Linked DNA regions of Mus musculus. The protein of the gene in region 1 interacts with the protein of each later gene in a pairwise test. Links are inferred from orthologs where the notes say so. Each region holds a gene or a part of one and is shown in the gene's direction. Other genes may lie near its edges. The genes, in order: Prkn, Gpr37, Snca, Rgs2, Syt11, Rad1 and Tomm70a.

What was found.
Region 2: the proteins of Prkn (region 1) and Gpr37 interact in a two-hybrid assay, tested with the Homo sapiens proteins (2 studies listed by BioGRID). The link is inferred for Mus musculus from reciprocal best matches to the Homo sapiens genes PRKN and GPR37.
Region 3: the proteins of Prkn (region 1) and Snca interact in binary tests that used the Homo sapiens proteins (3 or more experiments, as listed by UniProt). The link is inferred for Mus musculus from reciprocal best matches to the Homo sapiens genes PRKN and SNCA.
Region 4: the proteins of Prkn (region 1) and Rgs2 interact in binary tests that used the Homo sapiens proteins (3 or more experiments, as listed by UniProt). The link is inferred for Mus musculus from reciprocal best matches to the Homo sapiens genes PRKN and RGS2.
Region 5: the proteins of Prkn (region 1) and Syt11 interact in binary tests that used the Homo sapiens proteins (3 or more experiments, as listed by UniProt). The link is inferred for Mus musculus from reciprocal best matches to the Homo sapiens genes PRKN and SYT11.
Region 6: the proteins of Prkn (region 1) and Rad1 interact in binary tests that used the Homo sapiens proteins (3 or more experiments, as listed by UniProt). The link is inferred for Mus musculus from reciprocal best matches to the Homo sapiens genes PRKN and RAD1.
Region 7: the proteins of Prkn (region 1) and Tomm70a come close enough for resonance energy transfer, tested with the Homo sapiens proteins (3 studies listed by BioGRID). The link is inferred for Mus musculus from reciprocal best matches to the Homo sapiens genes PRKN and TOMM70.

Annotation. Positions count from the first base shown.
Region 1 is NC_000083.6:12,061,231-12,064,091, forward strand, and holds the end of Prkn (E3 ubiquitin-protein ligase parkin), read left to right. Parts: intron 1-310; coding exon 311-423; 3' UTR 424-2,136; downstream 2,137-2,861. UniProt on the Homo sapiens protein: Functions within a multiprotein E3 ubiquitin ligase complex, catalyzing the covalent attachment of ubiquitin moieties onto substrate proteins. Substrates include SYT11 and VDAC1.
Region 2 is NC_000072.6:25,686,836-25,691,155, reverse strand, and holds the start of Gpr37 (prosaposin receptor GPR37 precursor), read left to right. Parts: upstream 1-1,175; 5' UTR 1,176-2,059; coding exon 2,060-3,043; intron 3,044-4,320.
Region 3 is NC_000072.6:60,826,144-60,830,717, reverse strand, and holds the start of Snca (alpha-synuclein), read left to right. Parts: upstream 1-1,713; 5' UTR 1,714-1,994; intron 1,995-3,090; 5' UTR 3,091-3,116; coding exon 3,117-3,237; intron 3,238-4,574. UniProt on the Homo sapiens protein: Neuronal protein that plays several roles in synaptic activity such as regulation of synaptic vesicle trafficking and subsequent neurotransmitter release.
Region 4 is NC_000067.6:144,001,324-144,005,923, reverse strand, and holds the start of Rgs2 (regulator of G-protein signaling 2), read left to right. Parts: upstream 1-1,774; 5' UTR 1,775-1,805; coding exon 1,806-1,915; intron 1,916-2,870; coding exon 2,871-2,972; intron 2,973-3,082; coding exon 3,083-3,144; intron 3,145-3,641; coding exon 3,642-3,808; intron 3,809-4,049; coding exon 4,050-4,244; 3' UTR 4,245-4,600. UniProt on the Homo sapiens protein: Regulates G protein-coupled receptor signaling cascades. Inhibits signal transduction by increasing the GTPase activity of G protein alpha subunits, thereby driving them into their inactive GDP-bound form.
Region 5 is NC_000069.6:88,758,782-88,762,634, reverse strand, and holds part of Syt11 (synaptotagmin-11), read left to right. Parts: intron 1-85; coding exon 86-909; intron 910-3,853. UniProt on the Homo sapiens protein: Synaptotagmin family member involved in vesicular and membrane trafficking which does not bind Ca(2+). Inhibits clathrin-mediated and bulk endocytosis, functions to ensure precision in vesicle retrieval.
Region 6 is NC_000081.6:10,484,602-10,488,889, forward strand, and holds the start of Rad1 (cell cycle checkpoint protein RAD1), read left to right. Parts: upstream 1-1,416; 5' UTR 1,417-1,663; intron 1,664-1,851; 5' UTR 1,852-1,917; coding exon 1,918-2,115; intron 2,116-3,388; coding exon 3,389-3,497; intron 3,498-4,288. Other genes in the region: Brix1 (ribosome biogenesis protein BRX1 homolog), read right to left, coding at 1,134-1,292. UniProt on the Homo sapiens protein: Component of the 9-1-1 cell-cycle checkpoint response complex that plays a major role in DNA repair. The 9-1-1 complex is recruited to DNA lesion upon damage by the RAD17-replication factor C (RFC) clamp loader complex.
Region 7 is NC_000082.6:57,148,909-57,152,761, forward strand, and holds part of Tomm70a (mitochondrial import receptor subunit TOM70), read left to right. Parts: intron 1-911; coding exon 912-1,034; intron 1,035-3,674; coding exon 3,675-3,828; 3' UTR 3,829-3,853. UniProt on the Homo sapiens protein: Acts as a receptor of the preprotein translocase complex of the outer mitochondrial membrane (TOM complex). Recognizes and mediates the translocation of mitochondrial preproteins from the cytosol into the mitochondria in a chaperone dependent manner.

The DNA of each region.
Region 1 (2,861 bases):
TATGGTTATATATTTTTTAAAATGAAGAATCGCTGTCTATAAAATGTGAACAATTTGTGTCTAAATGAGGGAAAAGAAGAGAACCTCAGATATGCAGATGGGATTTGTTCCATTTCTCTAGAGCATCCGGACCCAGGAGCTGCCTCCGCTGCTGTCTGGTTGTTCACTCTGGGTCAGTCTCTCTGCTCTCATTGCTTGAGGTTGTTATTCACTACAAGAGCTGTTTCTGGAATGGCAGGTTGGCACGGGGAACAAGGGCTCGCCCGTATTTGTTACAAACCCACAGCGTCTATGTCCTTTGTCCCCACAGGAGGATGTATGCACATGAAGTGTCCTCAGCCCCAGTGCAAGCTGGAGTGGTGCTGGAACTGTGGCTGTGAGTGGAACCGAGCCTGCATGGGAGATCACTGGTTTGACGTGTAGAGAGAGATGTCACTTGGCCCTGGACGCACAACCTCAAGGGAAACTCCGAAGATTCCTACCTTCCTTAGCCATTTCTTCTTCTCGATGCATATAAGCACATAAATGCGCACACACAAACACAGGCTGCAGATTACAGAAGCAGCCCCTAGATCCTTTCCAGGGCACCCACAGAAAACCACAGCACCCGCTGGCCCCAGGGGGAGGAGGCACTTTCAGCCTCTGGCTCACTCGAATGTCAGAGCTTAGATGAGGGTGCACCTTTGGTTTGGATTCTGTAGAAGCCATGAGTGAGGTGGGAAGTGTTTTCCAGGGTTGTTGCCACGCCCTGGGTAAGTAACACCTCTGAGGATTCTCAGAAGCACACTTGAGATCTGAGGAACGCTGCTCTCATGTAGTAATCATCTATTCCCAAAGGGCCCCCTGCAGTAGTCAAAACTATTTGTTTATCCCCCCAAATCCTATCTTTACAAATGGTGCTGATGAGATTACAACCCCTCTGTGTACTAATCAGCTTATCAACCAAGTGAGAACCTAGGAAAGCTAATTGGATGGCAGACTGCTTAAATCGCAGGGAGGACTCAGAAGCCAAACCTACTTCCGTTCGTTTCATTATCTGCAACTTTAGAAAGAAATGATCTTTTTTTCCCCCTGAAAAGATAACAAAGTCTGCAATTTGGTTTGGAGTATTCCTACTGCAGCCTGGAAGTTTAGCTTCACTGTGAATTTAACAGAGAAAGTGCCTATAAAGGGGGCGTTTTTAAGAGACAATCCCATGATGCTGCGCCAATGCTAACAACAGGGTCAAGAAACACAATGTTTATAGAAGGAGCATCCCTCGACCATCTGAATGAGAGTATGCCTGACCCCTTCCACCACAAGTGGGGACACCTCTGCATATCTGCTCCCTCCTCTGCTGTTAAGCCCCAGGGAGCCCCATCCACCCAGTGGTCCTACAGACAGGGCAATACACACACACCAAGATAGCCTTCAGATCAACATGCATCACACTCAAGTGTTAATCTTTCAAGGTTTTCTTTTCTTTTTCCTGTTTTTTATTTGTTTTGCTTTTGCTTTTTTTTTTTTTTTTTTTTTGGTGGTGGTGGGGCTACCAAACTTGAGGCCTAGAGCTAAAAATCATATAGAAATGATGTTATCTTGTGGTGTGAGGAAAGGCCAGCTGGCCTAAGTTCACACTTTTGTCCCAGTGGCCCTAGACTCCACCCAGCCAGCTCCCAAAATGAAAAGACCACCTGTCAAGCAGCAGTCAGGAGTCTGATGTCACCCATCACTATTTTTTTTCCATCATTGTGCTTGCCTCTGCCTCCTTCCACACCCGTGTGACGTAATCGCATTGGGAAGCCAGGACAATGTTTGCTGTTCTGCTTTGGGTAAAGGGACTCCCTGAAGCTCTGTGGCTCTCCAGTATGGTCCCTTTTCCTTCCTAACAGATGCATATGTTTTCTTCAGAATACAATAGTGATTCTTAAAATAACCCAAAAGACAGGCATCCACAGTGTGTGAGCATGAATCACAGCCTGCATTGTGTGAGTGTGAATAGTGGGATAAAAGTGGATGTCAGAAGAGTGGAAATCAAACCTCTGCAAAGCAATCTTTCTCTTTCTGTGAAGTGTATTAAGAAATACCTGAAGTCTGTGTGTGTGGTGGTACCCAGACTGTCAATCAATAAAGACCCAGACTGTCAATGAAAGAATCAAAAGCGTGTTTGTACCTATCCTTGGGATTGCATTTCTGATCAATTTTGGAGATGTGGGAGGGAAGATGGGCCGCATTTCTCTGTGACCTCTCATATGTGTTTATAGAAGGGGCATCTCTGGATCATCTAAACGAGAACTTGGAAGCATCAGCCACTGGGGGGGGGGGGGAATTGGTCTCTTTTCTTTCCATAATTAACCTTGGGGGCTCTGCTCTCCTAATTATCAGTATTTCAAAACAAGATCTCATTCTGAAACCTAGCAGTCACTTTCTTGCCTTGCTCACAGACTTGCCCAGATAAGTGTTAACAAGGGAAACTGGGTCTGGAGAGTCTGGAGAGATGACTTAGAGGTTAAGAGCACTTGCTGCTTTGGCAGAGGACCAGAGTTCAGCTTGAAAGTACCCAGAGGGTAGCTTGCAACTGCCTAAAACTCCCATTCCAGGGAATTTGATGCCCTCTTCTTATTTCTATGGGCTCCTTCAGGCGCATGGTACTCAGGCAGGTGGGTTTGAGCACGCGAGCACGCGTGCACGCGAAAACACACACACACACACACACACTATAGATGATAGATAGATAGATAGATAGATAGATAGATAGATAGATAGATAGATAGATAGATATTTTGAAGAGAGACAGGAAGACGCTTGGGTCCAGGGAGATGGCCTAATACAGTAATGTGGTTACTCTAAGGGTTATGAGGACGAGAGTTCAGTCTTCCAGA
Region 2 (4,320 bases), on another chromosome or scaffold:
TGTCAGTTTTGTTGTTATGTCTGGTGTCTGTGCATCTGCCCATTTGAACCTCAACACAAGAAAAAAAATTATAAAGATTTTCATAGTCTACTACCCTCTCATCTCTCTCTACCTTTTTCTTCTTGGGTCCCTTGTGTGTGCACAAATTTATAACCCGTGACACTCTTTTCATCTCCAGATATTTAAGTAAGTCTCACTGTAGAGTTCCTTTTGCTATGTAAACACATATTCACAAATGACAGTGCTTAGGACGTAGATAGTTTGAGGCTCTTTACTGCAATTGTATTTTTACTGTATTTTCTATTGTGCCCTTAGATAATTCTTCTGTTGTTGCCTTTGTCTCTATCTCACATGTTTATTTCTTCCCCTTTTAAAAATTTGGTCCGATATTTGTCTGTTTTCTCAGCTATACCAAGATTGCTACACGGGGTTGTGTGTATATAAAAATTGGAAAGGCATGGGCATCGTGATGGGAGTTCGGTCCTCCTCAGTTCTCAGTTCTGAACATATCAAGGTTGCTGCGTTCCTCCTGCTCCCTGTGATCAGCTCTAACTCCACCTCCTGGTAGGATGCTTTCAAAGTCAATGTTAAAGGTAACGGGACACCTGGATCCTTCTTACCTTACAATCTACTCTCTTACCGAGTGAATGAAACCAATGAAGTCTGTTTCTTTTCTGACTCTGCTCTGGGGAATCTAAGACTGTGAATGTGTCACTATTCCCTGGGGAGTCTGAAGCCTGAGCATGCGCACCAGTTGCTACCAATTGTTGCAGATCTCAAGAGGCTTGCCCTTTCTACCTTCTCCTCCAGGGATCCCCGCCTGCACCGGGGGTCCTGAGATCCAACCCCCTCCTTAGTGGTGACAGATTAGGTCGGGTTGGTTGGACTATCTAGGGCAATAACCCATGGAGTTCACGTCCTCCTTGCCTTTAGCCGTGCAGATTCGGCGCCTCCGCCCTTGTTCCCGGGTCGCTCCTAGCTTCCTATTGAAAGCTACTGCGAACGCCTTGAATGAAACGTGTGTGGGTTTAGTGTGTGGTAAAACCACCAGGGGATCCCGTCTCTCCACAAACCAGATGCTCTGCTAGAAGGAGGACGAGAGGGAGGCGACCTGGAGTGAAGCCCGCGCAGTGGCTGAGCCGCTGGGAGAGGCCGGGCCACCTCCCCTGTCCACCATGCACCGCTCCGCCCGCCAGCAGCGGTTCCAGGCACCACGCTCTCCACCCGGGTTGCGATGGTGGTGGCAGTGACAAGCTCCTGCAGCCCACAGCACTGTGCACAAAACAGCAGCGCCCTCTCCTCCCTCTCGCTCCACTCCACGCCTTCTCAGCCCGTGCACTAGGCGCAGCCGCTGGCGCCATCCACTTGTCAACTTTGAACTGAAGGAGCAGCAACTTTGACAGTGGCCGCGGGTTTCGAATCTGGCTTCTCCTTGGCAACAGTCCCTTTGAAAGTCGTCGGAGTTAAACGAAGCAAGAGTTTCCTCTGTGCTCCGGTGGTGCCTTGTTTGCAAGGGTCCCCACCCCCCACCCCCCCGCCAGCCGAGAGTGGGATTGTGACAGCCAGTCCCCTAGTGGAGCGGACTTGTTTTTCTTTTTCTCTAGAGACCTCTACTAGCGACTGGATAAAGCAGTATGGAAAGGATGTAAATAGCAGAGCAACTGTTACCAAGAAGACAGCCACCACCCAAAGGCTGGGAGGAGCGCGGGGCTTCCTCCAGGCTGCGCCCAGTCGCAACATTAGGGAACAATCAGGTGGTGTTCGCAACTTTTCAAGGTCAGCCTCTTGGATCTGTTATTTCCCTGGGAACCTTCGGGTGCACCGAGCTTGGATTAGATTTGGCTGGGAAATGCTCAGAACATGAAACGTGGAAGGATTGTAGGGATGTGTTGATGACACCGTCCTTCCCCAAGCGCCCTGTTCCCTCCCAGCAATCTTCTGCTCCCATCCTCTACCCAGCGGTGAGTATGTGACATGTGCCTAACTCTCTGCACCAAGTTTGGCAGCAGGTGTCGGTGCTAAGCTAGAGCCAGGCTAGTAGGTGCGCCCTCGCCGAGCCATGCCAGCCCGGGGCGCGCCTCTCTCGCGCACATCGCGGCTGCTGCTCCTTCTGCTGTTTAAGGTTTCTGTCTCTGCTGCCCTGAGCTTTGTCCCTGAGCCCAGGAATGGAACTTGTCTGGGGGAGAGCTGTTCCCCACTGATCCAACGCCGCAGCAGGGATGCCCGTGGACCTGGGAATTCGGCAAAAGACGCTCTGCGAGTCCATGTGCCCAGAGAGAAACTGGAAGCAGAGGTGAGAGGGGCGACCTCTTGGGACCTCCCACCACCCAGGGGCGGTGACACAGGTGTGATTGAAGAAGCGGCGGCTGCTGGGCCCTTGGGACCTCCAACCAAGCCACCAAGTGCCTGGAGATGGAAAAGTGCCCAGGGTAAAGAACCATCCGGGCATTTGAGGAGAAGGGACCCCACGGATCCCCAACTCTTCTTTCCGACATCGGAGGGGGGAGAGATGAGTTCCAAGCGCGATGGGATTCCCCAGAGCAGGCAGGAGCACAGTGTGAAAACGGAACCCAGAGATCTTTTTTACTGGCCACGAAGAACTGGACAACTCCAGGATTCCCAACACAGGCCTTCAGCAGTACACGAAGGAAGGACCCTTGCTCCTCCAGGCAGGGCACTACCGCAAAACGGGTCTGCAGATGACTGGGTTCCTGACCAAGGGGGTCCACGCCGTGGAAACACCACGCGGCGCGTGAGATTGAAGAACCCCTTCTACCCATTGACCCAAGAATCCTACGGAGCCTATGCGGTCATGTGCTTATCTGTGGTGATCTTTGGGACCGGCATTATTGGCAACTTGGCAGTGATGTGCATCGTGTGTCACAATTACTACATGAGGAGCATCTCCAATTCTCTCTTGGCCAACCTGGCTTTCTGGGACTTTCTCATCATCTTCTTCTGCCTCCCCCTGGTCATCTTCCATGAGTTGACTAAGAAGTGGCTTTTGGAAGATTTCTCCTGCAAGATCGTGCCCTATATCGAGGTAATGACCTCTAGCTACTGCCTTTTTCTGTTTCCGGAGAATAAGCACCTACCTGTGGGACTCTTTGCTTCTTTCTCTGAATCCCTTCTCTTTCCCCCAGTCACTTATGCAAGCACGTGTGTGTATGAAAGAAAGCAGCTTTGCTAAACCATCTTCAAACTCCATTGCTCCTAGCCTGGTGTGTGTGTGTGTGTGTGTGTGTGTGTGTGTGCGTGTGTGTGCGTGCGTGCGTGCGTGTGTGTGTGTGTGTGTGTGTGTGTGTGTGTGTGTGATAGTTCTATATGTACAGCTTTTCTCTGGATATGATATTTTTGACTTGGTATCCTGGGTTAAATAATGGCCAGCCCATGGTTGTCTTTATGGGAACGTAGTACTGGGGGTGGGGTGGGGGAGGGATCATTAATATTCATTTACTAAAGTTCTAGTATTTCATCGTGATTCCACCATGCCATCCCCAAGAGAGGCAATTGAGCTTTTTCTCATTTTTAACTACCAAAGCTGAGGTTATATTTTATGTATAAAAGAACATCAATTTTAGTTTTTGTAGTTGGCCTCATGATATATTAGGAACCTCCAAATTAGTTTAAATTGGTTAAGATATCTACCTTATTGTTTCCTCTACATTGTTAGGACTTCTTTGTGGATCCTTGTTAACTTTTAGAAACAGTTCAGTTTTCTGGATAAACTTAAACAAAAATAAGACTTAGTCCAGTCTCCTATAATCTAACATTTGTAGAGCATAGGACACAAATTTGCCACTGCTATGGCTGTGAAGAATAAACAATTTTAAAATGATTTATAGGTAACATAAGAACAATTCTGAAGTAAAAAAGGAGTTAGCTTCCAAACTTTGAGATGAAAATTGTTTGAACAAGACAAGGTTTTACTGCTTCATGCTAGAGCTACTGTACCCGTCGTTGCTCTAGCAGTAGGAATTTGCTCTGTAAATTGGCTTCTCTTTAAACACCAGCTCTTGGAACCCACCCAAGTGTTTGGCTGCCAGTTGTGGTTTTAGCCAGCTGGGCCTTGATTTTTCTCCATTCAGGCTGTCCATTTCATTTATAGAAACACAAGAAGGGAAACTGTAAATATTCCAGAGCCTCTGATCCTGTCTGGCACCAGGGCCAGTTGACACTGTGTTCAACATTGTCTCAGGCTTAAAATTCCAAGATAAGTAAACAGCAAACAGTGCCTACTGAGAAGGTCCAGAGGCAGAGAGTCAACAAGACCCTCTGTTATTCAGTTTGGGCTCAGATGTAGGACCATCCATGGCTACT
Region 3 (4,574 bases), on another chromosome or scaffold:
CGAGGAAACGTTTGTGTCCTCTCATCTGGCTTTAGACTATTGACAAATAGACCCCAAGAAATTGGAAGTCCTCCAGGAATTTGCTGAGGGAAGGAAAAGGCTGAAGCCTTGTGTCAATTACAGGGTGAGCATGTCTCCCAGGAAGAAATATCAGATATCAGATACTTAGTCAGACCTCCTTGCAGAAGAGACTGGAGCGGAGACAGAGACAGTAGCTGGAAGCACACTTTGACCTACTGCTTAGTCATACATACATCCTGACCTCTATCTAAACAAGATGAACTTGGGGCACTAAACCTCTGTTCCTCTTCTTAACGTGGCCACATTGAATTACTCCCATTTCTAGTATTTCACTATTTATATGTCACTTTACCTGGCTGGTTGAGGACAGGTGTCCTAACTTGGCAGGATGGGGATGCTAGAGCCCAGGATCTAACCCTATCTACTGCAGAGGTGCCACCTTTTCCTTTAATTTCAAGTAAACATGGTATGTGCCACTAGTGTGTAGGAAGGTTGATTTTTAAAGGGAATAAGAATTGAAGGCGTTGCTTAAACAGTTAATTTCTGTCACATTACTTGTACTCTGCATTTGTGGTTTTATCTGCCTCCTTCCTTTATAGCATGCCAAACAAGCTGCTTGTCCCTTGTTTCAAATGCTTTTTTAGACTTCAATTTATTTATTTATTTATTTATTTATTTATTTATTTTTCAGGATTCAGAAGTCAACTGACTTCAAGGATCAGAGAAAGCATTCCCTCCTACGACCCCCCCCCCCTTTTAATACAGTAAACGCTTGATTTAGCTTCCAGTGCCCAACACAAGTTCAGAATACAAGAAAGGAAAAGCAAGGCACTCTGCTGGGGGAGGAGCTTGGCACTCAAATCCACTCTGCTATAAAACAGTGGTATTCTGCTCATCTCAGAGAGAAGTGGGAACGTGTTAAGTAACACAGAAATTGTCTCAAAGCCTGTGCATCTATCTGCGCGTGTGCTTGGATTGGAAGAAGAGTCTGTTCGCTGGAGCTCCACGCAGCCAGAAGTCGGAAAGGTAAGAGGTGTGCAAAATCTGCCATTAAGTAGGGACTAAGGAAGAAACTGCCTGTGATGGTCCCAGAGGGTGAATCCCACAGCCGCTACCTTCCTATCCTGTAACTCTATAGTAAGCCACTTTCTCAAGTGCAAAAAAGCCTTGAGGCAGCTGGTTTTCGACGGTTGGGGGATATTTATTCCTTGCTCCACAGATGGGGAAAAAAAAATCAGCGTCTGGCAGCCGCTGATTGGTGGAAAAGAAAATGGTGATAGTGGAGTGGGAATGAGGATTTGCTGAGCCTCCCCCTGCTTCTTCGACCTGTAACTCTTCCTTAGTCGGCTCCCCTTTGCACCCAGAACCCTTTTAGACTCCTCCGGGGTAAAAACAAATGGAAATCTTAAGCTGTGTGAACAAAAGCAACCCCAAGGGTGTGTGCTCCCTCTCCATTGCCTGGCTCCGCACACAGACCATTTCAGGCGGTCCAGCTCTCTGGTGTGGCATCTGGGCTCGTCCTGGAGGAGGGGGTCGCCTAGAGGAACTGGGAACAGACTGAGGCAGGGAAGGAGGGGGGTGGGGCAGGAGAGGCGCCAGCTCAAGTTCAGCCACGATAAAACTGAGGGCCCTCTGAACTCGAGGGGAGGCTCAGGCCGTCCTCTCTTCCTTCCATCCGGGGGAATGTGCTCCAGATACCCACAGCCCTCACGCACCGCACCTCCAACCAACCCGTCCCCTCCCTAGGAAGAGGAGCGAAGGCACGAGGCAGGCGAGGGGCGGGGAGAGGCGCTGACAAATCAGCTGCGGGGGCGACGTGAAGGAGCCAGGGAGCCAGAGCGCCCGGCAGCAGGCAGCAGACGGCAGGAGACCAGCAGGTGTTCCCCCTGCCCCTGCCTGCCCTTGCCTCTTTCATTGAAATTAGATTGGGGAAAACAGGAAGAATCGGAGTTCTTCAGAAGCCTAGGGAGCCGGTAAGTACCTGTAGATGGGGCAGCTCTGGGGATCTTAGCTAGCCGGAGCAAAGAGCCGGGACGCCTAGAGAAGACCAACTACAGCTGCTTTGGCGGTGGGGACTGGGCCAGTGCGTGGAAAGTACATCACTCGGCTTTCCTTTCGCTGGAGACATGCCCTTCCATCCTGTCAAAGCCCGAGGGAAAGGCCAGGTTGCCTGTGGCATCTGCTTTTTCAAGCGGAAACGCTAGGGTGTTTCATGTTGAGTGCTGGATGGTGGAAGCTTAGTGCTGGGCATTGGGTGGAATTTGAGCATCCAACTTTCATGCTCCAACCCCAGGCATTTCAGCTTCTTTCTGTAGAGGAAGAAGGGTGCCTTTGGCCCATGATTAATAGAAGTGCAGAGGACAGTAGGCAACAGGTGATAAAGGGTTAATGAGCATGGGGTGCAGGGTCTTCTAGAGGATTCCAGCTGAGGACAGAGCTTCTTGGTTGGGTGGTGCTCAAGTGAGACTGCTCAAGTGTATGGACAGCGCCTGCTCTGGGCAGATAGCAGGCAAAGAGCTAGTGGTGGGCAGAAGGTCTTGCAAGATTAGAAAGGCTGGGCTTCAAGCAGTTCCCTACTTCTAGATTAAACAGTTCCCCTCCCTTCCTTCTCCAAAGACTGACTCCTCTCTGGGTCTTTTATCCTCTTGCCCCCACTCCATCTCTGTACGCCCACCTCCCATGTTCCTTTTCTAGATAGTCTTTTTACTTTGAATGTAACCTTTGGGCCCTGGGAACTTGATGGGGTAGAGGATGCCCACCTCCCCTTCTGCAACTCTTCTTCTGAAATATGTATGTAAGAGCAGTCGAATGATCAAACTAGATCCATCCCATCCTTAAGTGACATGACTTTTTCCTAGTATTGAGTGACATAACTCAACAATCAATCAACACTGTGCCCAGCACCCCCACATCCCCCCACCCAAGAAATCACACTTACACCAGGACTTGGGGGAAGGCATACTGATTTTTCCCCCTCAATTTCCTTTCTTTCTCTAGCTGTTTTAAACCTTATTATTATTATTTTTTTACCCAAATTTTCTAATTCAAAATGTATTCTGTATTCTCTAGTGTGGAGCAAAAATACATCTTTAGCCATGGATGTGTTCATGAAAGGACTTTCAAAGGCCAAGGAGGGAGTTGTGGCTGCTGCTGAGAAAACCAAGCAGGGTGTGGCAGAGGCAGCTGGAAAGACAAAAGAGGGAGTCCTCTATGTAGGTAGGTAGTGACACTGTGACTAATGAATTGGGGTGGCTGGTGTGTGGTGTCTGATTCGTGTGCATCACAGCTTCTCAGAAGAGTGACAGCTGTGTGGAGGTGAGAGAATATGAACCTGCATATTAGCTCTCAGAAACAAACAGGGACAATGTTTTCTGTCCTTAGATTCATTAATCTTGTTATTTATGTAGGTTTTTTATTTGGTTTTCTGTTTCTGTGTATGAATACACTGAATTTTAAAAATTGGCAACCCATGAAAAATAACCAAGAATATGCTTATGAATCAAAGACATGTATGGCAGTAAGCCTGGTGGCATTTGGGAAGTGGAGGCCCAAGGACCAGGAGTTGATGGTCATCTTCAGCTACACAGAGAATTTGATGCCAGCCTGAACTATGTGAGAACACACACACACACACACACACACACACACACACACTCACACTCTCTCTCTCTCTCTCTCTCTCTCTCTCTCTCTCTCACACACACACACACTCACACACACACACAATACACACACACACACTCTCTCTTACACACACACATACACACATACACACATACACACACACACATACACACACACACACACTCACACACACACACAAAGAAATAAAGAAATAAAGGAAGGAAGGAAGGAAGGAAGAAAGAAAGAAAGAAAGAGAAAGAAAGAAAGAAAGAAAGAAAGAAAGAAAGAAAGAAAGAAAGAAAGTGAGCCACAAGTACTCATGGGACTTTGATTTCTTTCATCATCACTATAGGTAATACCTGCTAAGTTTAATAAATTATAAAGCTTTAAACAATAGTTTTGCATAATTTTATTTTACAACTGTGAAAATACAACTCCTTTGACCCTCAAATAGAAGAAAGAAAGCAAGTCTTCTTTGGTGGATCTCCTTTTAGGGATCACTTGGTCAGTGGGAACAGCGGGACTTAAGGAACTTCAGAAATGTTTGTTTAGTTCACCTGTCAGAGATCATACATGCTGAACAGTAAGAGGTTGATATTTAGTGCCATTTTCTGCCTGACTGTACACATTGAAAGGAAGGCCAACACTCCCTTTCTCTGTCTTTCCCTGTGTTAAATTGGCTGTAACTTTACAAATCCCTTCTAGTACTTTCATGGAAGGAATAGACACCCATGCACACATGCTTATCCCCAGCAGAGACACAGGTGCACATGGGAGCACAGTTGCAGGGTTCATCTACCTCTCTTTCCTCCTGTGAACACTGTTTCCACCTTCTTAGGAGGGCATCTCTCTTGGTGGAAGACTCAGGGTAAACATTCAGGCTGAAAAGGAGCAGAACAGGTGGCAAAAGTGATGCAGATGCTACCCAG
Region 4 (4,600 bases), on another chromosome or scaffold:
GGGTCTTAAATGCAAGATTTGCATAGTATCTTTTGAGACTGGCAAAAAAAAAAAAAAAAAAAAAGGAGAAGAAAAAATCACATTGCTGCTCTTAGTCATGAGAAATTAGGGCTCAGGCAGGAGGAAAGTGACTGCCCTAACAGAGACTTAGCAACTACTGGCTCTGATTACACCTGCTAACAGCCACAAGTGTCAAGGGTCACCTGACCTATATTGATGATTTTAATACCCAGGGTTGTAAGAAAAAAAAAGTCCTGTTTTGTATTGTTAAAAAAAAGTCAACTATGCCTGCACATTACAGATATTTTAACGAGCAACACTATTTTATTAACACAAGCTTAATAAATATGTATTAAATCGTCAGAAATTAAAGCAAATGTAGAAACAGTGCAGATCTTTTCGGCTTATTAAAAATTTCATCTTACAGATTCATAAGCATGCTATCAAGTATTTGTTGCTAAAATCGAAATGATATTCCTTCTATAATAAGGCTATACCAATCTTCTTCATTAGCGACTGCAGACTTTGATCTCTGACTCAAACTACCCTCAGCTTGTCACAATGTGTTGCTTGGTTCCCAGTTTGAGAATGGGTCTTCATTTTCCTTTTAGTAGATCTAGTATGAATCAGAATAACTAGAGCCTAAGCCGTACCTTTTTGTTAGTCTGTTCAGACTTTATGGGAAAACCACTTAGGTATTCCGCCGCATCATTCTGGTAACATAGGAAGCTGAATCAGTTTGTAGTTGAAGTCATGTATTAGTTCTTACAAATCAGGGCTTATTAAACCCTGCAGGAGCAGAGACAGGGGTTCTCACAAATGAAGCTTACCCAAACAAATTCTTTACACCAACCGGCTCTCACATCTAGCTCTAGCCCCCACTGCACCGCCACCTTAACTTAAGCAGTTGAACATCTAGTAATTCCTAAATCTGTTCAACCGTGAATGACTCATGAGGAAATCCTGATTCCTTACGCTCTGAAACTACACATGATCCGTGTGCAGCAGAACTGCGAGATCCTGGGTTTCCCTTTGTATTTCTCACCTATCTCTCTGATCTTTGCTGTGCCCCGCAGGAGATGCCCCTCGGGTCTCCTGGGGAACGACCCTGCAAAGCCACAGCCTGCTGCAGCCATGCATTTAAAGATCAAAACTGCAGAACTGGTTAAAACACCAGGTTTTAATAGAAACTTTCTCCCGCTTCCTCCCTGAGTAGCGTGGAATTCCCTTTAGGAATTCCAAGGTGCCTGAGCGAGCTACAGCACCTTACTCAACAGTCCATATTTCAGGTTTTTCTAGTTGTTTGATTTCCTTCTCTAAAATAGGTAGAGTTGCTGAGTGCAGCCAGCAGGGCTCTCCCCATCCCAGCTGCAGTTTATGGGTGTCCGGATGAACAATAGATACAAAGGTGGGGCGCGCGCGAACACACACACACACACGCACACGAGTAAAAGGTACGGTCTTCAGTAAAGGAAAAGCCAAGAACTCGGAGACCCTTCACCGCGTGGCTGCCCGAAGTGCCTACCAAATCTCTCTGTGTCCCCGCCCGCCACCTCCCACCCTGTGTGCGCACGAGGATGCGGCGCCTACGTCAACAGCGCCCTCGCTTCCAGGCCCTTCGGGGGCTGCCGTGACTGCCACAGGCCGGGGCGACTCCGCCCTCGTGCCGTCTGCAGCGAGCCAATCCGCGCTCTCTTGGGGCGTGGCTGACGCCTCCAGGTCCCGCCCCTATGCCGCCGCCCGCCTTAAAAGCCCGCGGCGCGCTCCCGGCCTCAAACAGCTGCGGTGGCCGCGGGAGTCTGAGAATGCAAAGTGCCATGTTCCTGGCTGTCCAGCACGACTGCGTACCCATGGACAAGAGTGCAGGCAACGGCCCCAAGGTCGAGGAGAAGCGGGAGAAAATGAAGCGGACACTGTGAGTATGCCCTGTCTCCCGAAGAGCTCTTCATACCCAGCCTGGCTTTGCTGCTAGGGACCTACCTTCCCTCGATCTCGGCTTTGAATGCTCTCTAGTCTGCACCTCTGCAGAGAAAGTGTGGGGGCTTGGGGGGTGGGGGGTTAGCTTGCTAGATATGGTGGTATTTGCTTTTTTTCTATGTGAGCTCCGAGAGTTTAGGAACTATAGGAAATGGTTGAAGAAGGTGGCGGTAGATGATCTGAGAAGGGCTGGTTGGCTTTTTGTTCTGCATTTAATGTGGCATCAGAATCCTGTAGCTGAATAACGTCCACCGGCGTCTGGACGTTGCATTGTTAGTTCTGAGCTGCTTGCATAGCTGCTGGGTGGAGATGTTTGAGTTGATTCGCAATGTATGAGATCCATTTTTAAATCATAAAGTAGGGCTCACCCAGTCACGACTATGGAATGAGTAATTTGCTCTGCAGTATCTGCTGCGGAGAAGCACTGTGGGCGGTCGCAGAGGGGAGCTAGGGAATCCATCACACACACACACACACACACACACACACACACACACACACACACACACCTATGCATTGTCTCTGGCATAGTGCAGACCCTCCTACCCCCAGTGCAGAAAGGGAAGAAACATCAGCTGGGTCAAGACTGCTGTTCTCAATTGAAAAATGACAGCAAGCTGTAGTTTAACCATGCAGAAAATCCACTACCTGTTTATTAGGTCAGAAATAACTGGTGAAAATTTAAAATACCCTGGCTGTTATGTAGTCCTATCCTGCTTGTAAAGCTCATTATAGTCGGATGAATGGATAAAACTGTGTTCTGAGGTGCTGGGTTTAAAAGCTAAGAGGGAGAGACTCATCTGCTTTGTTTGTAGCTACTGCAGCTGATGATAGTTTGACCGTTCAAGAATTGCCACTTGAAGTATTTTTTTTTTCTCTCTTTTTTTTTCCAGCTTAAAGGATTGGAAGACCCGTTTGAGCTACTTCTTGCAGAATTCCTCTGCTCCTGGGAAGCCCAAAACTGGCAAGAAAAGCAAACAGCAAACTTTTATCAAGTAAGTTTCGGATCCTGTAGTTACAGAGATGAATATCTAACCAAGCCAAGCAAAAGGGGAAGGGGAACTGATGTGTGTTGGGGAGCTCATTTGCGGAACTTCTCTTGCAGGCCTTCTCCTGAGGAAGCGCAGCTCTGGGCAGAAGCATTTGATGAACTGCTGGCCAGTAAATGTAAGTTCACCTCTTGAATGTGATCTCTCACCAGTATCTTTAAAAGCCTAGAAATGATTGCAAGAAGTGCATTAGACATTACCACCACTGACAGTTCAAAGCCTCTTTTTCTTTCCCTTATATCACTGGGTTTAATCATGGGGAAGCAAGAGGTATTCACCTCAGGTGGGGAAGAAAAGTTAGCCTAAAAATTAAAATGCCAGTTACTCAGGCTGTGGTTGAGTCAGCTTTTCCATTGCATAGAATATTTTCAAAAGCCCTAGTTCCTAGTGAACTTATGGCCTATAAACACTGGTCTTGCAGTGCCAGTGAAGTTAAGTATACTTTTGTTGCAGACTACAAACTTAAGCATTTTTGCCTACTGGCATCTTAGTGCTTAAAGAGCCAGACCTAGAGAATGACAGGCTTGAATGAAGTCTAGGAAACTGATCATTTTGTGCAGAAGAACTGTGTATAATTCGGTCGTTCCATTCATGCTGCTTTTCCTGTGCTTCCAGATGGGCTGGCTGCATTCAGGGCGTTTTTAAAGTCCGAGTTCTGTGAAGAAAACATTGAATTCTGGTTGGCTTGTGAAGACTTCAAAAAAACCAAATCACCCCAAAAACTGTCCTCAAAAGCAAGGAAAATCTATACCGACTTCATAGAGAAGGAAGCTCCCAAAGAGGTAAGAAGACAGGCGCCTCAGATCACCTTCAACACTGTTGAAACCTGAGACTTGAATACACCACATTCAAGCACAAGTGAGAAGAGCCCTGTGCGCCTCTCATCCCAGCTGTCCTAACATTTAAGTTTCTCCAAAGTTGACAGTTATAACTGATCACAAGTTACACCTTTATGTTTTATTATTAAGCATCAATCTGCAGTGTTGACTAGCCAATAAATGGACTTTTGTTTTGTTCTTTCAGATAAACATAGACTTCCAAACGAAATCTCTGATTGCCCAAAATATCCAAGAGGCTACAAGTGGCTGCTTCACCACAGCTCAGAAGAGGGTGTACAGTTTGATGGAGAACAATTCTTATCCTCGGTTCTTGGAGTCCGAATTCTACCAGGACTTATGTAAAAAGCCACAGATCACCACGGAGCCCCATGCTACATGAGACCAGGAGTCCCCCCACACACAAAGGACATTCCATTCTGTCTCCCAAGAGCAAAGGCTGTGACCTGCCAGAAAAAAAAAAAAAACTGACCTTGAATTCAGCCTGAGTGTTAGGAAAACATCGCTCAGAACTATTGATTCAATGTTGGGTAGTGAATCAGGAAGTCAGCAACCTAGGAGAGGCTCTGTGTGAGAACGGCTTCCCTCACTGTGTGAAGAACAGAGGGAGGGAACAGGCCTCTGAATGTGTTCTTCCTCCTTGTCGGGAAAGCAGAGTTTGAGATGAAAGATCCGATGCAATGTTGTTGGAGCATTTAAAATCAATAGGTCTGGGATTATGTGGCCTTAGCTAGTTGG
Region 5 (3,853 bases), on another chromosome or scaffold:
TGAGGACTAGTTTGGCCCCAGGAGAGGCACACTCTTAACAAGAATGGAAATACTGTTTTGACATAACTCTGGTCTCTGTCTTCAGATGTGTCACCGGTAGCGGCTGGCCTCATCGGGGCCTCCGTGCTGGTGGTGTGTGTTTCAGTGACTGTCTTTGTGTGGACGTGCTGCCACCAGCAGGCAGAGAAGAAGCACAAGACCCCGCCATACAAGTTCATTCATATGCTGAAAGGCATTAGCATCTACCCAGAGACCCTCAGCAACAAGAAGAAAATCATCAAAGTTCGGAGAGACAAAGATGGCCCTCGGAGGGAAAGTGGACGAGGGAACCTGTTAATAAACGCGGAGTCTGGCCTGCTGAGCCACGACAAGGATCCCAGAGGGCCTAGCCCTGCATCTTGTATGGACCAGTTACCCATCAAAAGAGACTATGGGGAAGAACTGAGGAGCCCCATGACAAGCCTGACCCCTGGTGAGAGCAAAGCCACCTCCCCATCCTCGCCAGAGGAAGACGTGATGTTAGGCTCTCTTACCTTCTCCGTGGACTACAACTTTCCCAAGAAAGCTCTGGTGGTGACAATCCAAGAGGCTCACGGGCTGCCAGTGATGGATGACCAGACCCAGGGCTCCGATCCCTACATCAAAATGACCATTCTCCCGGACAAGCGGCATCGAGTGAAGACCCGAGTGCTTCGCAAGACGCTGGACCCGGTGTTCGATGAGACCTTCACCTTCTACGGCATCCCGTACAGCCAGCTGCAGGACCTGGTGCTGCATTTCCTGGTGCTCAGCTTTGATCGATTCTCTCGGGATGACGTCATCGGAGAGGTCATGGTGCCATTGGCTGGAGTGGACCCCAGCACAGGCAAGGTTCAGCTGACCAGGGACATCATCAAGAGGAACATTCAGGTGAGGAGGAGGGGTATGCAGGGGAGGGATGGTCGAAGGGGGCATGCCAGATCTCAGCGGAGTGAGAGGAGGGTCCGGAGAAAGCCGGTAACAAAGACATGTGACAGAGAAGTTACTGAGTTCTTAGCTAAGCTGTGCTCAAAGGATAACAGAAGGCCAGGCAGGTGTGTTCCTCTATGAAGCAAATTCCGGGAGATGAAAGGGCAAGTTGCTTCTAAGCTTACACTGAGTGCTTGGTATCCTAGTGCTACATCCAGCTTGTGTGGAACAGACTGGTCCACCAGCCCTGGACCCATTACAATTAAAGGATAAAGGTGTCAACCTGATATTCTAGAACCTGTGTTCTTCCTTGAGGGAGCATACATCTCACTGCTGAAAAAGTATAAAAATTAATTCACTTTTTCCTCAGCTTCCTTTCCTAGGTGGGTATGAATGTTATTATGATTTTTTTTTGACATGGGGGTCTCTCTCTATATATAGCCCTGGCTATCCTGGAACTCATTAATAGGCTGGTGTCAACTTCACAGAGATCTGCCTGCTTCTGCCTCCCAAGTGCTGGGATTAAAGGCATGCACCACCGCGCCCAAATTTTCTATTTTTTGTTTTTGTTTTTTGTTTGTTTATTTGAGATAGGGTTTCTATGTGTAGCCTAGAACTCACTCCATAGAGCAGGCTCAGTCAGAACTCCACCTGCCTCTGTCTCCAGTGCTGGGATTAAATGTGTGTGTCACCACTGCTCCACGAGTTTTGAGACAGGGTCTCGTGTAGACCAGACTGGCCTGGAACCTAAGCTGGATTTGTGCCCAAAGATGACCTTCAGCTCTGGCTCTCCCGGCCTCTGTTTCCCAAGTGCTGAGATTATAGGTGTGCCGTGGCTGTGTCTTCCCGCTTTCCTTTTTTTTTTTTGTTTTTGTTTTTGTTTTGTCTTGTTTTGTATGTCTTTTTTTACATTTGTATGTTATTTATTTGTAAGTTCCGGGGGGGTCACATGTGTGTCACAGCAAGTCTGTGGAGATGAGAGAACAACTGGCAGGAGTTGGTTTTTTTCTCTCCATTCAGATCAGGCTTGAGAGCAAGCACACTTTCCCACTGAGCCATCGCAATGGTCCCTGAGCATTTCTTTGAAAAATATTCTTAATATTATTTCTTTGGGGGTGTTCTTGTCTGTGGGTGTGTGAGTGTGCACGCCTGCCTGAGGACACCAGAGGGAGTTGGATTCCTTGGAGCTGGAGTTTAACTGTCTGATGTGGGTGCTCGGAACTGAACTGAGTCTCTGAGAACAACATGCGCTCTTAACCACCGAACCATCTCTCCAGCCCCTGTGTATATCTTTTTATAAGCATGCTATGACTTCAGTTTAGCGCAGCGCTTCATTTTCCAAGCCCTAACCTTTAACACAGACCTTTCGTCTACTCCTCTCCCTGCTTTGCATTGGGAGGAAGCTCAGGGCCTCCACACTGCCCTTTCTCCCTCTCCCCGTTCAGGAATATTACTCTGGAATTAACGTCCTGAGTTCAGAGCATATACAACCACCCCTCCAGAGCATATACAACCACCCCTCCTGGCAGTTCATCCATGGACGTTGGGGGACAGAACAGGGCTGCTGGTACACACTGTTGCTGGAATCGACTGCCTGACACCTCAGCGTCTGCGTCCCAGCTGCAAGACAGTGGGCACCTAACTCCTCTCAGTCTGTTCCCCTCAGCTGACAACACTGCCTCCCCCATTAGGTCACAATAAGGAACCAGGTAACGTGCCTGGCGTATTATTATCCTTAAGAAGTTCTCACCTTATTGGAGGAAAAAGACAGTTGTTGGCAGTGTTTGTTTGCAACCCAGAGGCCAAATGGTTGCTGGGAATTGAACTCAGGACCTTTGGAAGAATAGTCAGTGTTCTTAACCACTGAGCCATCTCTCCAGCCCTGAGACTTATTTTTTAATGTTGATCAAGAATCTGGTGGAACAGCCTGGCGTGGTGGGGCACGCCTTTAATCTCAGCACTCGGGAGGCAGAGGTTCTGAGTCCGAGGCCAGCCTGGTCTACAGAGTGAGTTCCAGGACAGCCAGGGCTACACAGAGAAACCCTGTCTCAAAAAAACCACACACACACAAAAAGAATCTGGTGGAACTGAAGATGACCTTGAACTCCTTGTTGTCCTCCCTGCATCCCATGCGCTAAATCCCATGGGGTTTAGGTGTGCACTAGCACACAGTGCCTGCAGTGCGAGAGTTAGACCCAGGACTCACATGTACGTGCAAGCATGCACGCTATCAATTGAGCTACATTTCCAGCACTTACTTTTATTGTTTTATTTCGTGACACATGGGGTCTTACTATGTAATTCTCAATGGCCTGGAGCTTAATACATAGACTGGGCTGGCCTAGAACTTACTATATAGCCTAGGCTGCCTTTTTTTTTTTTTAAGATATTTTCTTCATTTATATTTCAAATGCTATCCCCAAAGCCCCTTATACCCTCCCCCCACCCCCGCCCTGCTCCCCAACCCACCCACTCCCGCTTCCTGGCCCTGGCATTCCCCTGTACTGGGGCATATGATCTTCGCAAGACCAAGGGCCTCTCCTCCCATTGATTGCCGACTAGGCCATCTTCTGCTACATATGCAGCTAGAGACTCAACTCTGCCTAGGCTGCCTTTGAGTTTACAATAATCCTCCTGCTTTTGCTGACTGAGTACTGGAATCCTGTACTAGCCAATTCTGACTTTGAGAACTGGGCATCATGGCAGAGGCTTGAAATCCCAGCTCTTGGTCGGTGAGATGAGGAGGCTTAGGAGTTCAAGGTCATCCTCAGCTCTCGGAAGCTGAATGTCAACCGAGGCTGCAGGAAACTGTCTCAGAAACACACACGCACACACACTCACACAAGGGCTGTGGATGTGGCTGAGTTGGTAGAGTGCTTGCCTATGAGGTACAGAACCTTAGGAC
Region 6 (4,288 bases), on another chromosome or scaffold:
AATTTCTAAACCCCCATTTAATGCCGTTGATGAATTTTTTCCACCACCCCCCCCCCCTGTCTTTCTAAATACATAAATTTAAGCCTTTCTTTGAAATTCAGCTAAAAGTTACTATTAGGGTGTTTCCTTACCACCCTAATAGTAGTAATTGTCTCATTAATTCCAATTCATATATCATAGTGTGATTCAGATTAGTTCCCTTCATGTTTCATGTCCAGCTCCTAAGAGGGAGCGCACTAACTTTTATTGAAAACCAGCTAATTTTCCTCAAAAGTCACTTTTATCCTTTCAGACAAAGGTACAAGATTTAACTGTTAATTAAAAGTGGGGTACAATGTCCACATTGCCTCACTCAGTACTTGAGTACTACACTAAGCACAAAGGACTAACAAGTCTGAGGCAAGATTTCCTCCATACAGATACCTTCCTTAAGGAGTTTCCAGGTGACTGAAAGTAACTCCAACAAGAACCTGCTGGCCTTTAGAAGAGACACACAGTTTTCTATGAAGCCTTCTTTCCTTCTAAACTCCAATATTTCTGGAGGAACTCTTGTTCATTATTTCCTAGATGCTAAGGCCAGGGAAGCTCATCTTGGTATAAGTGTGTCGCACTGTTTGACACAGTAAAACTAGTGGTCTAGGACCCTTGAGTTAAAAGATCTAACCAAACAAGTCAGAGTCACAGACTCACAGGACTGTAGCTTTAAAGGCTTGGCAAATAAATAAATAAATACATACATACATACATACATACTTCGGTAATCCTATGTGATACGGACCAAAACAGAAGGAATTTATAGTTACACCAAAAAGACTCTGAGAAAAAAAAAAAAAAAAGACAAAGGAAAACCATTACTCTGGGGAGGCGGGGTGGGGGTCAGTAACTGGAAGACAAGGATCCTGGAACTAAACACCCATTAAATCAACTCCCTGTTAACTGGCTTAGGGTCTACGAACTGCTGTCTCCAGGAAGAAGGCCATCTACACGAAAATTAGACATAAACACTGTCCAGTCCCTCCAGGGAACCCTAAGCATAAGATCCTGTCAAGTTTTGACTGGAGTCACTTCGCTGCTTCGGTGGCCCAAAGGTGGGTCAGAGCGCCGACTCCAACTTCGGGAGTCGGGCCTCTTACCTTGCAAACCGGACCTGGAATACGATCTCTATTTTCCTCCTCCGCCTCTTTGGCCACATCGGCCTGCTTAGCTGGCTGCCCGGCATCTTTCGAGCTCCTTTTTGGCTTCTTCGCTTGAACCTCCAAGCCTCCACGCCGCTTTCTCTTGGTCGCCGCCATCTCGCCTCGCCGCGTCGGTCGCTGCCTGCACTTCCGGTTCTGCCGCTCGCTCTGCCTTCCGATCTCTATGGTAGCCCACGTTAGGCTGTGAGTTAAGTCATCCGGCTCCAAGGCGCTCGCTTCCGGTCTCGAGGTAGACTCTCTAGGCACACGGCGGCTCGGTGGTGACGGTGGCCTAGGTGGTTGCGTATCTGAACGGTGGCGGGAGCTGTTTGCCTGGCTTGCTAGCTTTTTGGACGCTCAGGGTGTTCTTGGGGCTGGGGTGGCAGGGGCTTTGAGGGGTCGGACGTCACCCACAGCCTGGCGCCAGGGGCTCCCTTAGTGGCCGCTGTGCGGCGAGCGGGCCGAAGTCGCGTTCTCCTGCAAGCCAGGTTGGTGGCGCTCAGAGGTGCTAAGCAAGCCCGGTTACCCGCGCCTTTTAGAGCTACCCTGTGAACTGCATTCAGTGTAGAATACCGTAGTTTTGAGACATGAAAATAGAATGATCTCGATTTCGGCTCGGGTTGAGGTCGCCAGTCCTGTCCGCACTGATAGCGAGGTTTGTTGTTCCGTGTCTCAGGTTTTCACACATCTTCCGGAAGAGGAGCATCCTTCTTCTCGGAGCCGACGGTACCGTGGACCATCCATGCCTCTCCTAACCCAGTACAATGAAGAGGAGTACGAACAGTACTGCTTAGTGGCCAGCCTTGACAACGTTAGGAATCTCTCCACTGTCTTGAAAGCCATTCATTTCAGAGAACACGCCACGTGTTTTGCTACCAAAAACGGAATCAAGGTTACAGTGGAGAATGCAAAGTGTGTGCAAGCAAATGCCTTTATTCAGGTATGGGGGAGTGAAGACATTTTTAAAGCATTCCCTAATGAATGAATTTGGAAGGACTTAATTCAACAAAACTCAAGTTAGTGAACAAAATGTCGTTACTTTTTTTTCTTTCCTGCCAACAAATACTTTCCCCATCTTGTCTCACACAGATAACGATTACTAGTGATAGTTTATTAATGACTCTTCTCACCATTTTCCTCTTTTAATCTTTACACATATAGACACTTTCTCGTTTGACATAGTGGCACCAGATTTAATTTTCAGTAGTCTTACAACTGATTGAATTAGGGCGAGAACCCTATTTACTCTTTACAGTATTATTGTCATGCACGTTTTAGTTTTTCCTCTTATTGGCTGTAATTTTTCCTCGGAGCATTTTCCCCCGGAGATAGAGTCTAACATGTAACCCTGGTTACCTGGAACTTGGTTTATAGACCAGACTGGCTTCAAGTTCTTGGAGATCCGCCTGCTTCTGCCTTGCCTCTGCCTCCCAAGTGCTGGGATTAAAGGCATGTACCACCACTGCCTGACACTGAATTATCCTATCCTTAAGTGACTTTAGCTTTAAGGGATAGGCACAAGACAGAGTTAGGGCAAGTTCACATAGGTGTTAAATTTAGATACAGAAATGAAGATGAAGAGCCCTTACTAGGGGGTGGTAACTTTGTGGTGTTTGGCTTTTTAATATTTTTAGAAAGGTTTATTTTATGTATGTGAGTACATTGTCTTCAGACAGACCAGAAGAGGGCATCAGAACCCATTACACATAGTGGTGAGCCATGTGGTTGCTGGGAATTGACCTCTACCTCTGGAAGAGCAGTCAGTGCTCTTAACCTCTGAGCCAACCTCCAGCTCCTGGCTTCTTAATTTCGTGTGTATGAGTGTTTTGCCTGCATGAATGTCTCCAAAAGGCGTGTACCTGGTTCCTGCCAAGTTCCTGTGAAGGGGGTGTTGGATCCCCTGAAAATGGTTACAAAAGGATTTTAGTCACCGTGTGGGTGCTGGAAATTAAACCTGTGTCTTCTAGAAGATTAGCAAGTATTCTTAACTGATGAGCCATCACTTAGTGTTCCACGTTTAATGATTAAACCATTCAGTAGTATTCAAGTGGGGAAAGGTTGAAAACTTAGTATGTCTTAGTTGGGAATGAGAAATACTCTCATGGAGTTGGCAGAGTATTGTTACTTTCTAAGCATAAAGTGAAATATAGACGTGTGAATTTTCATTCTTTAATATAATCCACTTTCATGTTTTCATGTTTGCTTTCTCATAGGCTGACGTGTTTCAGGAATTTGTCATTCAGGAAGAATCTGTTACTTTTCGAATTAACTTAACTATCCTTTTAGACTGTTTATCTATTTTTGGATCAAGTCCTACACCAGGTGAACTATTTTACTACTACAACTACTGCTACTACTATTGTTGTGGCATAAAAGTATTTATTATGGTTAAAAAAATAGAAAATACATACAGGAAGGTTTCTAGAATATAAGCTTTTTAATTTTTTTTAATCTTTTTTTTTGGAACAGAGTCTTATGTATCCCAGACTGGCCTTGAGCTCCCTGTGTAGCTGAGGATAACCTGGAATTTATCTTCCTGCCCTTGCCTCAAGTGATGAGATTATAGAGATAGGCAACCATTTATAGTTTTATGTGGTGTTGGGGATTGAAACTGGCACTTCATACGTGTTAGCCAAGCACTCGACTACAGCTGAGCTACGGCCCCAAGCCCAACAGTATTTTGTTAGAAAACTAACTTCTCAGGGAAGGACTAGTGAGGCCCCACCCCTAGTAGAGATGCTTTTGGCAGCTGATGGCAGCTAGGGGAGGGAAAAGTCATTTCTTTGGAACAAGTTGAGGAGTCCTAGGGAGGGAAGTATTAGGCCCTAATAATTAGGGGGTGCATTTGTATATATGAATTAAATTTTTAAAGAATAAAGGGAAACTGATTTCCAATTCATTTTCCTCCTAGTTGTTATAATCATAGGACATAAATATTTAAACTACAAGTTGAATGTTTGTTTTAGTTCTTTACATATTTGTGAAGGTATTTATTCATTTTAGGTCATCCTAATAGGCAAGGTATGTTATTACCTTACCTTCCTTTTTGCTGTGAAAAGAATGACTGACAAAGCAGTTTTAGGGTTTATTAATTAGGCTCACAGTTGGAGTGT
Region 7 (3,853 bases), on another chromosome or scaffold:
CAAAACAAAAAAAAGTTAAAGGCTGGAAAGGACTAGCGAAATTAGATTGCTCAACAACTAAGAGCAGGCCTTATTGTCTAGAGGACCCATATTGAGTTTTCAGCATCCGTGTTGTCAGGCAACTCAGAACCGCCTGTGACTCGATCCAGTTCCAGGGGATCTGAGACCCTCTTTTGGTCTCTACTAACCCTTGAATGTATGCACCATACATTCACAGAACCAAACATGCACATAAATGGGGAAAAATATAAAGGCTGTAAAACAAGTATTTTTTTACATTTAATATTTTGAAATGATTGTATGATATTCAGAATTTATAATATAGTCAGTAAATTGAAAATAATGCAACAATTTTATTTTTATAACGATAAAGTAATTTATATTATCAGAGTAAAAGGAGAAGATGCCTTAATTTTCAGAACAATTTTTTCATGATGGGTTTAATATACTTTTTATTTCCATGAAATAGAGCCAAACACAACTGAAACAACAGACTGAGTAAACAACTAGAAATCAGCCAGTGCCACTAGCATAGTAGAAAAGAGACCAAAAAAAAGAGAGAGAGAGACTGTAACCCACAAAAGTCTTCTCTAGGTCTTGCTCCCAGGAGTCAGACTGGTTCTAGGGCAGGAGTTGGAAGGGAATGAAACAGGGTTGGTATCTGCATACAAAAATCAGTTGTCTCTGTTTCTTAGAAATAGAGAAAAGGAATACTGAGTCCTGACTTACAAATCTGTGGCCAGGCACTCAACATCAGAAATAGAGACCAGAAGCCTTCAGTGTGATCTGCTGTAGTCTTTGTTTTCCTTATAAATTGTTTTGTTTATTGAGAACAGAGCCCAAATCATACGTTTATATGTTTATCAGTATTGGGTCCGTCTAACTGTCTCCCCCACCCTACTCCAATCCAGTTTACTTCAACTTCAGTGGAAGCAAGATTTGGATAAAGGTTTGGAGCTTATCAGCAAGGCTATTGAAATTGACAACAAATGTGACTTTGCATATGAGACCATGGGGACTATTGAAGTGCAGAGGTAACTAATCAAGCTGCTTCTTAGAGACGTAATATTGTCTTTGGTTCTCATTACGTATGTTGGCTTGTAAACCAATATCTATTACAGTTTTAAAGCTTGCTGTACTTTTGATGCAGGCTTCCCTAAAAATTAGGGAATTCGGATTTGCCTCATTTTACTTACACTTATAAAAGCTATCCGGCTTGTGCCTTACAAGGTGAAACTAGGTCTTTATTGTGTATGATTTTCTTTTTCATGTTTATCCTTCCTGTGGGAAGGCCAGAAATACCTGAAGTATGGTTTAGTCAGTGTCAGATAACAAGGAACAGATAGCTAAGCTGTATTGGAATCTGGATCCCGCTACAAAGAAGCAACCAGCCAAGAAGCTGAGCCGCTGAATTTTCATGAAACCTCCGGTTTAGTTGGACTTTTTTTAAACAAGTCTGATTTCCTGTAACTTGTTTAGTGTAAATATTTACCCACAGTCGCCCTTACGGTCTACATTTAATGTTGGCTACTATATATGTAGTAGACTATGCCCCTTAAGTACTGGTCTTCAGTCTCTTCCAGATCGCAATTCTGTTGGCCTAAACTCATCTTTATAGTGATCCCAAGATAAAATTGAGGTGTACAGAAACTAATGCCCAGGCCAGTTAGGCTAACAAAGTCACACTGTGACACATGACTGAGGACAAGACTTGAGTCCATACTTTGCTGATGTCAGGCACTAATCTTGCCACTATCACTTGTCAAGATCCAGGATAAGTCCTCTTAATTACCTATTGTCTGCTCTTCCTGTGGCTCTCTTTCCTCCAAAAGACTGACGAAAAAAATGTGATTCTTCTGATGGCAGGTATATACAAATACCATTTCTTATGTTAATGTGTCATTACAAATAATTCTTTTACTGATAGAACAGTGGTTCATAATTATGCTTGAGCAAAGCTCTAGATTCTTCTTAGATTAGTGCATATAAAAACACTTGACATTTAGAGTATTCATAGAGGCTACCTTAAGAGGACAAGGGTTGAGGGAATTTTCTTTGTACTGTAAGAGCCATTTTAGGGGCTGGAGAGATGGTTCAGTAGTTAGAGTACGAGCTGCTTTTCCAGAGGACCTGGGTTCAGTTCCCAGCACCCACATGGCAGCTCACAGCTGTCTATAACTCCAGTTCTAGGGGATCTGACACACTCATATAGACACACATGCAGGCAAAACACTGGTGCATGTGAAATTTAAAAAAAAAAAAAAAGGTCAGTTGTAGGTCTGGGGATCAGGCCTCGTGGATAGAGTGCTTAGCTAGCCTGATTTCATTCGCCAGCACTACAACAGGCCACGCGACAGATTCTAAACTAACTCTGGAGGTTATGCAGGAGAATCAGAGAAGTTCAAGGTTCTCTTGAGCTACATAGGGAGTTTTAGGTAAGGTTGGGCTAGAAATCTTGTCTCAAAAAAAAAAATGTTCATCTAAATCCTACTTTAAAGTTGAGTGATTGGCATTGCTGGTTATACTAATATTTTGCAGGTCATCTAGCTATTATCAAAACAGATCCATATAAACCAAAAATAGTTCATTGTGTTAGCCATATACTATAGGAAGTTAAATATGGGCCACCTTTAGTGATACTGAGTTAACTAGGCTTGACTTTGATCTTAGTTGCAGGATTACACGCATTTAGTTAAGTATTATGCACATGCTTGCATACATAGATAACACTACTTCCCTTAATCAGTTGTTTCTTAGTAACTATATAACTTAGTCACTCTTAAATGTAAGAGGAAAGTTTTATTAGCTATAGCATGTTGATCCATTTATTCAAAAACAGATAGCAATTACTAACCTTTGTACTTAGCTGCTTGAACTGAAAGATACGTACGAATGAGCTAGTAAAGTCGTCTCCCTATGTATATGGGCCCAAGAGAACTGTGAGGAATATTGGGAATGAAGTATTTAGTTCTTAGGTGTAGAGTATACAATACTATATTTGAAGTGGGCCCTCAAAGGTAGGGATTTGAACAGAGTTAAACAGAGACAATAACCTGAGGCTCTTTGTGATCAGGGTTGACATGGTCAGGGAACTGGGATTGACCTTTGACTGCATGGCATTTGGGGTGAGAGATAAGGTAGTAAGAGTATGGAGTCAGTCCTTTAAGGGGCAAGCGTTTGAGGGCTACTAATGCTCTGTATTGCCAGAAGCCTCATATTTGACCAGAAACATACAGGCTTAGGAACCAGGAAAATTAGGGTTTTTAAGTAACCAACTTAGTTACCCTAGTCTTCCCATATTTAACAAAGGATTCAAGATAATGTAGGCAGAATATGCTGCCATGATGGCCTCAGTGAGAGAGGATGTGCCTACCCCTGCAGACGTGACGTGCCAGGGTGGACGGATATTCACAGGGGCTTCCCCTTCTCAGAGGAGAAGGGGAGAGGGAGTAGGGGAAGAGCTGTTGGAGGAGGGACTGGGAGGAGAGGAGGAGATGAATATATTGGGGTGTAAGGTGGATTCATTAGTGTTTTCAGTATGCTGTGCTAGGCCTTTTTATTATGAAAGAAACGTTTTATTAGAATTACAATCGAAGGCTTCATGCAGCACAGTTAAACTTTATTGGTTATTAAGAACTGCTTGTTGAAGAATCTTTGAATTTTTGCTCTTTTAGAGGAAACATGGAGAAAGCCATTGACATGTTCAACAAAGCTATCAACTTGGCCAAGTCGGAAATGGAGATGGCTCATCTGTATTCACTTTGTGATGCTGCCCATGCCCAGACAGAAGTAGCAAAGAAATACGGATTAAAACCGCCGACATTATAAACACAGGGGAAACAGACTGACTCTT